2 linked regions of the Drosophila melanogaster genome follow. The protein of the gene in region 1 interacts with the protein of each later gene in a pairwise test. Each region holds a gene or a part of one and is shown on either strand. Other genes may lie near its edges.

Region 1 (5,275 bases):
TTGAGTTGCTAGACCACCAAGCAGTGGAGCTGTACGACCAGGCGGTGGCTCTACTCAATCGCGACAATGTGGCCTTGTTTGCCAGGTTCCGATTCAAAAAGCAGCAGGAGCAGCAGAAGGAATTCGTGGTCGCCACCACGCACTTGCTGTTCAACACGAAACGGAGCGATGTCCGTTGCGCCCAGGTGGAAAGAATTTTGGAGGAGCTGCAGTCGTTCTCCACCGACACACCTATCGTCCTGACTGGTGACTTTAACAGTCTGCCCGACTCCTCGCCTATTGAATTCCTCGTTGGCAAGAATGGGGATGTGGATTCCACAGCTTGCCCAGAACCCCTGCATTTCGAGATCATCGATTCGGGCGAAGGTACTGCCTCCACATACCAGAACGAATGGGTTATCGTGGACTACATCCTGCGCTCGCTAGGATCGCGGAGCAGGCACAAGCTCTTGCCTCTCAGCGTCTACTCACTGCCCTCAATCAACCGGTGCATCGGGGCGGGACAGATCCCCAATTACCGTCTGGGGTCGGATCACTACGCCTTGGGTGCAGTATTCACCGTTGTCTAGTATTTAATCTCTTCATGCTTTCTTGGACTCATCAATAAAGGTACGAAATGAACATGCCCACTTATTATAAAGTAAAAGATTAAGGGAAGGGACTCACCTGAAAGGTTCTAACTGCGTGCTCATCGCTAGCCTCCAGCTTGGCCCTGATGCTGCTGAGCAGATAGCCCATTTTAGTGATGGTGACGTCCTGGTCGAGATCCTTGTGATACGAGCGATAGGTGGTGGGTGATGTTGCTGCTGCTTGAAAGTCCAGCTTGCGGGCTCTGTTTGCACGGGGCAGCTTCTTCGGAGGCGTCGGTGCCTTCACCTTGCGTTCGAAATCGAAGTACGGCTGCTCTGTGTCCAGCTGTTGGCGGGTGGATGTGGTCGTACCCGAGGGCGTGGTCTGCATGGGGGAGTGGTAGCTTCCCGGCGGAGACTGTGACTGCAGGTCCAGCTGCGAGGTAGATGTCTGTACGCCAATGGTGCACTGCTGGGGAGTGAATCTGTGCTGATCCAGCTGCGTGTGCACCTCCTGATTAGACTTCTTCGGCGAGACGAAGCGCAGGATCTTCTTTTTGGAGTTGTTCAGAAAGTTCTTGGACTTCTTTCCAAGGTTCTTCGGTTTGTTACCCTTCCAAGGAGATAGATTGCGCCACTGCTCGCTCCAGATGAACTTCTGGCTAGCCTGACCTCCTGCCGTGTTAACTCGACTGGGATACTTGATGGGCGTCTCCTTGTGCACCATATTTGATGCCAGGTTCTCGGAAACACTTCCGTCAACAGTGTCCAAGGAAACCTTTGGCACTACGGGCTGTGGCTGTGCTTTAGGCATTTGCCATCCAATGGCTACTTGCGGTTCCGCCGGTGTCCTAAACTCGCTGGCTGTCTTGCCCTCGTAGTTGAGCATATCGGTGATCTTGGGCTCTGTCCAGCCAAGAATAACCTCCTTGGTGGGCGCTCCTTTCCGCCTACTCTCCTGCCGAATATTCCGGTCGTAATTTGAGCCCCGCTTGGATTCCACTACGCGCTCAATGTCACTGAGCGAGGGGCAGGTGGGCAGTTGCTTGTTGCTCCTGGGATGCCTGGGCTTCTCTACCTCAGCTAAAGAAAGACGCAAAGCTCGTAAAAACATCGAAAACCAAGGAACCAATTAATGAAACCGTAAGCCAAATGTTTGGATACAAAACACTTTATTTGGTAAATACATTTGATTTTTGGTAAAAATAGTTTCTATTTGGTTACGGTTTCATTTTCTAGGGCTTACGGGTATAACTTACCCATGGGGAACGATCTGCGCTTGCTGTCTTTTTTGAGCGATGGTTCCAGCTTGCTCGTAGGCACCTGAACGCCACGTTTGCGCAGAAACTCGTCCAGCACTCGCTCGGCCTCCCGCACCGAAGGATTCGTGGAGGTGAGCGAGGATTGCGATAGCTTCCCGTCCAGACTTTGGGAGCTGCGACGCGGCGGCTTCGGAGGCGGCAGCTGCGAGTTCCGTGCCTTGAAGCTGACTTGACCCTGCGAGAGGCGCTTCTGCAGCAGGCGTCCACCTGCTCCGGAACTGCGTCGAGAGCGGGAACTCCTGCGACTTGGCGGCTCGGTGGCCAGCTCTTCTTTCTCCTGATCTTCCTCCACAGCGGATTCCTGTTCGCTGATGTTAGACAAAACAGGAGCTGAGGGCTTATAGGCTATGGGCTCATAGGAAAGCATTTTAGTAGGCTCTCTCTGTGTGCTCCTGTGCCGGCACCTGGAGCTAGAATCTGACAGTTTGTGGCGGTTCACGCGCACTTCGGACACCACACAGTTGTCGTGCAGCTCCTGGATGATGTGTATAAGCGGTTCATCCTCGCCGGCCACGGCTCTCAAGCGACTGACAGCAGTTAAGGGAGTTTTCAAGCCAGAATTTATGCTGGCCGGCTCGCTTCGACGAAGTTTCTCCGCCTGCTGCCGCTGGCTACCGAGATTGTTCTGCTTGGCGGGCTGTAAAATGTGAGTTTAATGAGGGAACTGTAGCGGGCTGGTTAGTGGCTTACCTTGGCGCTCTCAGATCGCCTGCTGCGCCTTGGTAGTCGCACGTGCTGGTCACGTGGCGGTGCCGTGGAGCCGCAGTCTCCGCTGTCGCTGGTGAAGCAGTAGCAGAAGCCGTTCTGGCACGGCTTCCCCTTGCGCTCCTGCTCCTTGTTGCAGCGATTCTGGTTGATTAGGTCCGCATCCGTGGTTCTGCGGACTCGGGGAAGTTGTCGGGACATGTTGATGTGGTTATTGTTGGTCTCGCAGTCGCGACTTTGAGTGGACACACGGCGAATGCGGCGTGCCCTAAACTCGTCGATGCACTCCTGCAAACTGAACGACGATGTGGAACCAGACTCGGCGGAATCCTCCTCCTCCTCCTCCCCCTCTTCTTCATCAACTAGAACATGTTTGGAGAACTTTGAGCCTACAAAAGTCTGGAGGCCAATATGCTGTTCATTTGCACTTGTGATTAAATAGCGATTTAATGCTTACGGTGGCCATTTTGCAGTCTATGTATTTATGGAGCTGATTAGACCAGCTGCATGTGCTCCACTTTTACACGTTGCACGCTTTCTACTCCGCTTCTACTTCGTGTTTTTCCAATCAAATGAAAAGCGACGCCTCGCCTGCATTTTTGTTTTCCGCTTTGTGCCGCTTCTTCTTTATCAGCGAAAGAGAGAGAGGAGAGAGTGCATAACAGCCCTGTCTTGCGTCAGAGATTGGGCAATTGGCTGGTATAACTCAGGCAGCACTATATTCATATGCTTGAAATTGTTATTATTTATACAATTGTTCAAATGGGCTTTACTATTTATTATTTAATTCAGCGCGGAATAGGTTCATATTTAAAAGAGGATGTGCTAGAGATTAATTATGTTCCAATGTAAGCTGGGGTTATAGGGGTTATAGCTATAAAACATAATGTTTCTAGCTAACTCGTCATCTCTGGTCAGAGAGAATCAGCTGTTTGCGGCATGCTATTACGTCGTCTCTTATTTGGAATTGTAAAAAATAGTTAAAAATTGTTTTGAATTAAAAACAAATACAGAATGTCAAACAGCCACTTGTTCTTGAAGTCCGGCTTCCCCCGTGCACCCCTGCAAAATGGATTGGGACGCTATGTTTGTCAGCTCCAGCGGATCACCCTGAAGTTCTGCAAGAATAATGGATCCAGCAGAGGCATGCGGTAAGCAAAATCCTTAAATGTTTACATATAAAGTAAAATTAATCATACGAAACGTTCAATAGCGACTTCATTGAGAATCACTTGCTGGACTTTGCCAAAGAGAATCCCGGGATTGTGGTCTATGTGAAGCCCAGGCGCCACCGCACGCCAGTTTTGGTGGGAGAGTACTGTACGTATACATAATGTATAAGGATGCTCCCTAGAATACACTTTAAATATGTCATCCTGTTCCAGTGAACGGCGAGCGCGAATGGATGAGCTGCAGGAACAGCACCCAAGAGGAGATCTCCAAGTGGATTGACCTGCTAAAGACTCAAAACGGCAGCTCCAGCTCCCTGCGACTCCGGAAAATGTGGCATACCGAAGTGCCCTCCATCCAAGGCCCGTGGACGCCATTCCTGCTGCGTTCGCCGGATGCCCAAGGCCAGGCTTACCCCAGTGCCGAGGCGTCAAAGCCGCTGGATACGCCGCAAACTGCCACCGAGAAGCTCATCGAGTTGTTCCGGCAACAGCAACTGGAAGCTGGCGAGGAAGCACACGACGTGCTGAACAAAAAGCGGGCCGAGTGATAGGGATTAGGACTTTTTGGTAATTGTTGCTTTTATTTTTATAGTCAACATAGTTTTGTTGGTAAACAAATAAATATTTAAAATCTAAACCACTAAACTTGTGCCTCCATCGCTGGAATATCGAACCAAAAGTCATAGAAAAATGCAAACAACTTATTGTCCCCTTAGCTATGTTGCCTTTCAGATAGTTTCGATATGTTTCGGGTAGTTGGAATATCATTGTGGGAGTATCATAAATAATGCTTAAGGTTACCGACCCCTTGGAGGCTTGGAATACGAATACGAATACGAATACAAATACGAATAGAAATAGAAACAGGTTCTGGTGACGACTTAGCATAACCAACTTAGCATCGACTAACGACTGCAGGTGAGATGGGTGGCTCCGATCGGCGGCGATCGGTTAAGTACGCAAAGGTCTGACTAAGACGTTGATATAGTTACTTGCGGGTGCACACAGCGAGTTTGGGAGTATCAAAAAGTAGACCACGAATAAGTAATTGCTTATGTGCCGAAGTATTTTCCATCTAACACTTAAAACTATTGTACATATAGTTACTTTCACACGTACGATCAACGATCAACTTACACACCGATAAAAGCATTTTGCTCGAGTTTACAATTTCCGTTTAGTGAATTCCTTTGGCGAAATGCATTTGGTTCTTCCTAATTATTACTACATAGACCTTGAGTACACGAATGTTAACGTTGTCATCAAAATAATCAATACGGACGTCTTTACACTTTTGATATTGTTGTCAATGTTATATCACTAGTTGAACTAAATTAAACTTCTCCTTAAACCCATGTCTTTTTTCCATTCTTTCCCAGCTCTGCTTCATCTCTGCCGCTGCTGGCCCATATTTATACCTAGATTTTGTATTTTGGTGGTGATGGTGGTGGTGGTGGTGTTGGTGGGTGAGCTTTAAGCAAGCGTTTTCCATTCGCAACTAGCTACT
Region 2 (3,937 bases), on another chromosome or scaffold:
ATATATCAAATTATCGAAGTAATATTACAAAATTAATTCAAAGAATCTTTCATCTTCCCTTAATATCCTTTTATCGTATTTTTTATCCAAGTGTTTTTGGCCGTCTGTTTAGCCTGTTGTTGCCGGAAAAAGGGCAGTGGGTGGTGTTGGGTGGTGGGTGGTGCTGTCACTTTCTGGATGTCGGAGGATGTTCTATGTTGGGTGGGTGGTTGATTGCAGTTCAGCTCGGCAGCTTGGCAGCCTCGGCAAGTGCAAAGGCCTTTTGCGTGGCAAGGAAATTAGAAATGGAAATTATTATCGTAATTCGTAATGTTGCTGCAATTGCAGTTGTTGTTGTTTTGTTGTTGTTGTTGTTGCTGTTGTTGTTGCTGTCCGTTGTTGTTGCTGTTGTTGTTGTCTGTTGCTGTTGCTGTCATGTAATTACACAGCACCCAAACAACCCGAAGAGCGTTGATTGTCGTTATTAGAAGTAGTTTGCTGCTGCTCTTCTGCTTGGCTCCACTCTTGTTTTTGTTGCCCCAGCGAATCGTGCTTCGTCGTTCTGCCGCCGGATACCAGCCAGCCCCGCATCCCCTCTTCACCCCTTCGACATCCTTTCGACCCCCAATTCGATGGAAATTTATGTGGCGGAAGCACCCCAACCCTCACGCCTGAAAATACTGAATGTGGTGCAAAATTCGACTACCAAGGAGACTAACTTGTCGTTAGAAGTCGGCAAATAGTTGTTCTAAAGGGAAAGTTCTCAAGGGTGAACTGAAGTCGCAAACACTACTTTTTATTTGCAATTCAATTTAAAGACATTGCGAAAATGTAAAGCAAGTTGTATCAATATTAAGAATATTATAATAAATATCTAATAAACAGAAATAACATTGTTTCTTTAAAACTATAACACTAGAAGAAATACAATCATTCAATGAAGAAATGTTCTTTTATTGAATATTTCTAAAATATATTCCTAAATATTTTATAATAATTAAATAAAAGTATATATTAGAATGGCCAATTAAACGAGCCAATATACATTATCAAACTAATAATCGAAGAATTAGTATTATTGGAAGGTAAGAAGGTAAAAATAAAACTAAGTCCTGTTTTGGTTCTAGATAGTTCAATACTTTTGAATGATAACTTCAAGGGCCTAATCACTTCACTGCGGTTCATTGGCCCCGGATATGGACTATTTAATATTACCAAGGGTACTTGCCCCATAGTCATTGCTGCAGAAGGGGTTAATAGTCGACCAGGGACAATGACATTGCGTTGGAGGTGGAACCAAAAGCTGGCAGGACGAGGCCTAAATATATGTATATAGGCAAGGAGTGCAAACTTCAGCCAATCGATAAAAGTAGCTGCATATGCAATCGAGAGGGCCCGAAAACAGGGCCAAGCATTTCCGCTATCTATGTAAAGCAACGGATTCGAAGAGTGAGTGGAAGAGGAAGTGGGCGGGGCCATTGAGGGGCTGCGTATCCTGGTGCAGCAAAGTTTGCCTATCGTTTCCGCTTCGTCCTGAAACGAAAGTGTTGTCTACGATTTCCAGCACTTGCTTAAGAAACTTAAAAACGAAACGGGAAGGAGAAATAAAATAAATTTAATTGCCTACCTTGTTGATGTTGTTGTTGTTGTTGTTGAACCTGCTTGTCCTCTCGACTTAACCTGTTTTCCTGCCATTTTCTGACGCCAGCGAAATGGAAAATGATTTTACAACGGCCAACTGCCGAAAAGAACATGGAAAAGAATAAATTAATTCGTATTTGGCCGAAGCAATCGCCCCCGTTTTCCCAGACTTTATCTTTTGGTTTTCATTTCCAAGCGGATGCCGTCTAATTGATTCAATTTGTATTCATTTTACATGTTACCCACGATCTGGATTCGTAATTAATGAAAATCCAAAATTCTTATAAAAAATCATTTACATTTATATGATAAAATTGGGAAAGTGGAAAAGCTGTGAGATTGCAGGGCAAAAAAAATAATACTCAATCAATTCCGAGGTTTTGAGGCTATACCTTATCAAGTGTGCAATATTTAATCAAACTCCTGATTAGATTATTGTAAAGCAATGAGTAACACCAGGAGATATTCGATTATTATAGAAAAAAAACCTAAATGAACCTTTCAGTTCGCTTTTTCCTACCAACCAATGCGGTCTACATATTTTCTATCGCTATGAATTCAAGAAGTAAAAGCGCTATATTGCATTTAAGTTCAGATGACACAGAATCATTTTCGAAGGTATAAATAGTATTTCTTTTTGAAGAACATTAATTTTAGCATTTATCTTTTTAGGCGAATTATTGTGACTGCAACGATTTCGATGAACCGAAAATGAACTTAAAAATGGTACTTGAAAATAAGCTAAGAGACATGGAATTTAAATTGGCAATTGCCAACGAAAAGTTGGCCATATTTGACGATAAAATTAAGGACAAAAACGAGATAATTGAGGCCTTAAAAATGTCTAACAACCTTTATAAATCAGATTATAAGGATAGATTTGATGCTCAGGCAAGCATAATTGAAAAACTAGAGGAGGAATTGTCAACCTTAAGAAAAGCGAAGTTAAACTCTAGCCAAGATCTTGAGACAACCAAAAATAAATCAAAGTTAAGATCAACAATTTTTTTTTTTAAAGAAAGCGAAAAGGAAAAAAAGTTACTTATTTCTTCCCTCGAAGCGCAGATTAAAGAGAAGGCTAAAACGGAAATAGAAAACTCACAACTTATTAAGTCCTTAAAGTCTCAGATAGGCGACAATGATGTAAAGCTAAAGGACAAACAAGATCTTATAGCAACACTCGAAGCTCGTTTGAAAGAAAGCGATAGTAAAAATATTGAAAACGAACATATGATCCAATCTCTAAGCGTTAAAATGTGTAGGATAATTTCTGAAGAGAAAGAATATAAATCTCTTATAGCAACCCTCAAAAATCAGATAGGCCAAAAAAGCGAAACACTGGAAAAAAATAAAGGGATAATAACTTCACTCAAGGCTCAAATAAAGGAGAAAGATAAAATAAATGGTGAAAACTCAAAAGTTATAGCAAATCATAAGGCACAGATTAAAGAAAAAGATGACCAAATCACATATTTGGAATTGGGTCTAAATTTGGAAACTTGTAAAACGCGGGAAAAGGATGAGCTATTAAACGATCAAGCTGCTACCATAATGAAACTGCAATCTAATCAGGAGAGAGTGAAAGAAACCCATAAACTTATACCATCAGAGGGTCAACAAATTTCCAACGCTTTGTAAACAAATTTATTTAATAAAACATATATACTTTTATATCGCAAAGAAGAATGTTGTACATTTCAGCTTTATGTCAGCAAGGGGACGCCATCATGCGGGAATTTCAATGACGACGGTGCTGCCACCCTCGTGAAAAAAGGTCCTTTAAACCGCTATTCCCAAATACGTTTAAATATTTCCCCATTATTCAATTTACTATAAAAAATTCAACGGTCGTTGATTTTTTCGGGAAGTCCCCTATTTTTATATTGCTAATCTGTAGTGCAAATACTTCATCAATAAATGGTTATCTTACAATTAGATAATGGTAATAGTAACAATAAAAAAATGTGAGCTGTATTATCTAGCCTTTGATACAAAAGACAAGGTGTTCCAGAGAATTTGCTTTTTATTACATTTGACAGCTTATCATTCAAGATAACCGAATAACCAAAATAAACCTTTTTTCGTTTGCGGTTAGTCAGTGAGAATTAGCTGTTCGAGGGAATGGCTAGCGCCAAATTTGAAACGATGATGGAATATTTTGGTTTAGAAGAAAAAACAACGATTTTTAACTTAAATCCTTACTGTTTATATGAAATATTTCGTCAAATTCACAAAAACTGCGCATTCAAGCAAACCAATGATATATTTTTAAAGTACAGTGATCTTATAAACTTTGCTATTTGCTGTGATCATCTCA

What was found.
Region 2: the proteins of CG30183 (region 1) and CG10943 interact in a two-hybrid assay, tested with the Drosophila melanogaster proteins (one large-scale study listed by BioGRID).

What each region holds. Positions count from the first base shown.
Region 1 is NT_033778.4:23,694,614-23,699,888, forward strand, and holds the start of CG30183 (uncharacterized protein), read right to left. Parts: upstream 3,212-5,275; 5' UTR 3,063-3,211; coding exon 3,054-3,062; intron 2,996-3,053; coding exon 2,582-2,995; intron 2,529-2,581; coding exon 1,829-2,528; intron 1,653-1,828; coding exon 667-1,652; intron 620-666; exon of another isoform or gene 570-619; coding exon of another isoform or gene 1-569. Other genes in the region: angel, read left to right, coding at 1-569; mRpL43 (mitochondrial ribosomal protein L43), read left to right, coding at 3,611-3,747, 3,810-3,916, 3,982-4,316.
Region 2 is NT_037436.4:12,861,113-12,865,049, reverse strand, and holds CG10943 (uncharacterized protein), read left to right. Parts: upstream 1-2,129; 5' UTR 2,130-2,238; intron 2,239-2,292; 5' UTR 2,293-2,331; coding exon 2,332-3,258; 3' UTR 3,259-3,333; downstream 3,334-3,937. Other genes in the region: CG32107 (uncharacterized protein), read left to right, coding at 3,766-3,937.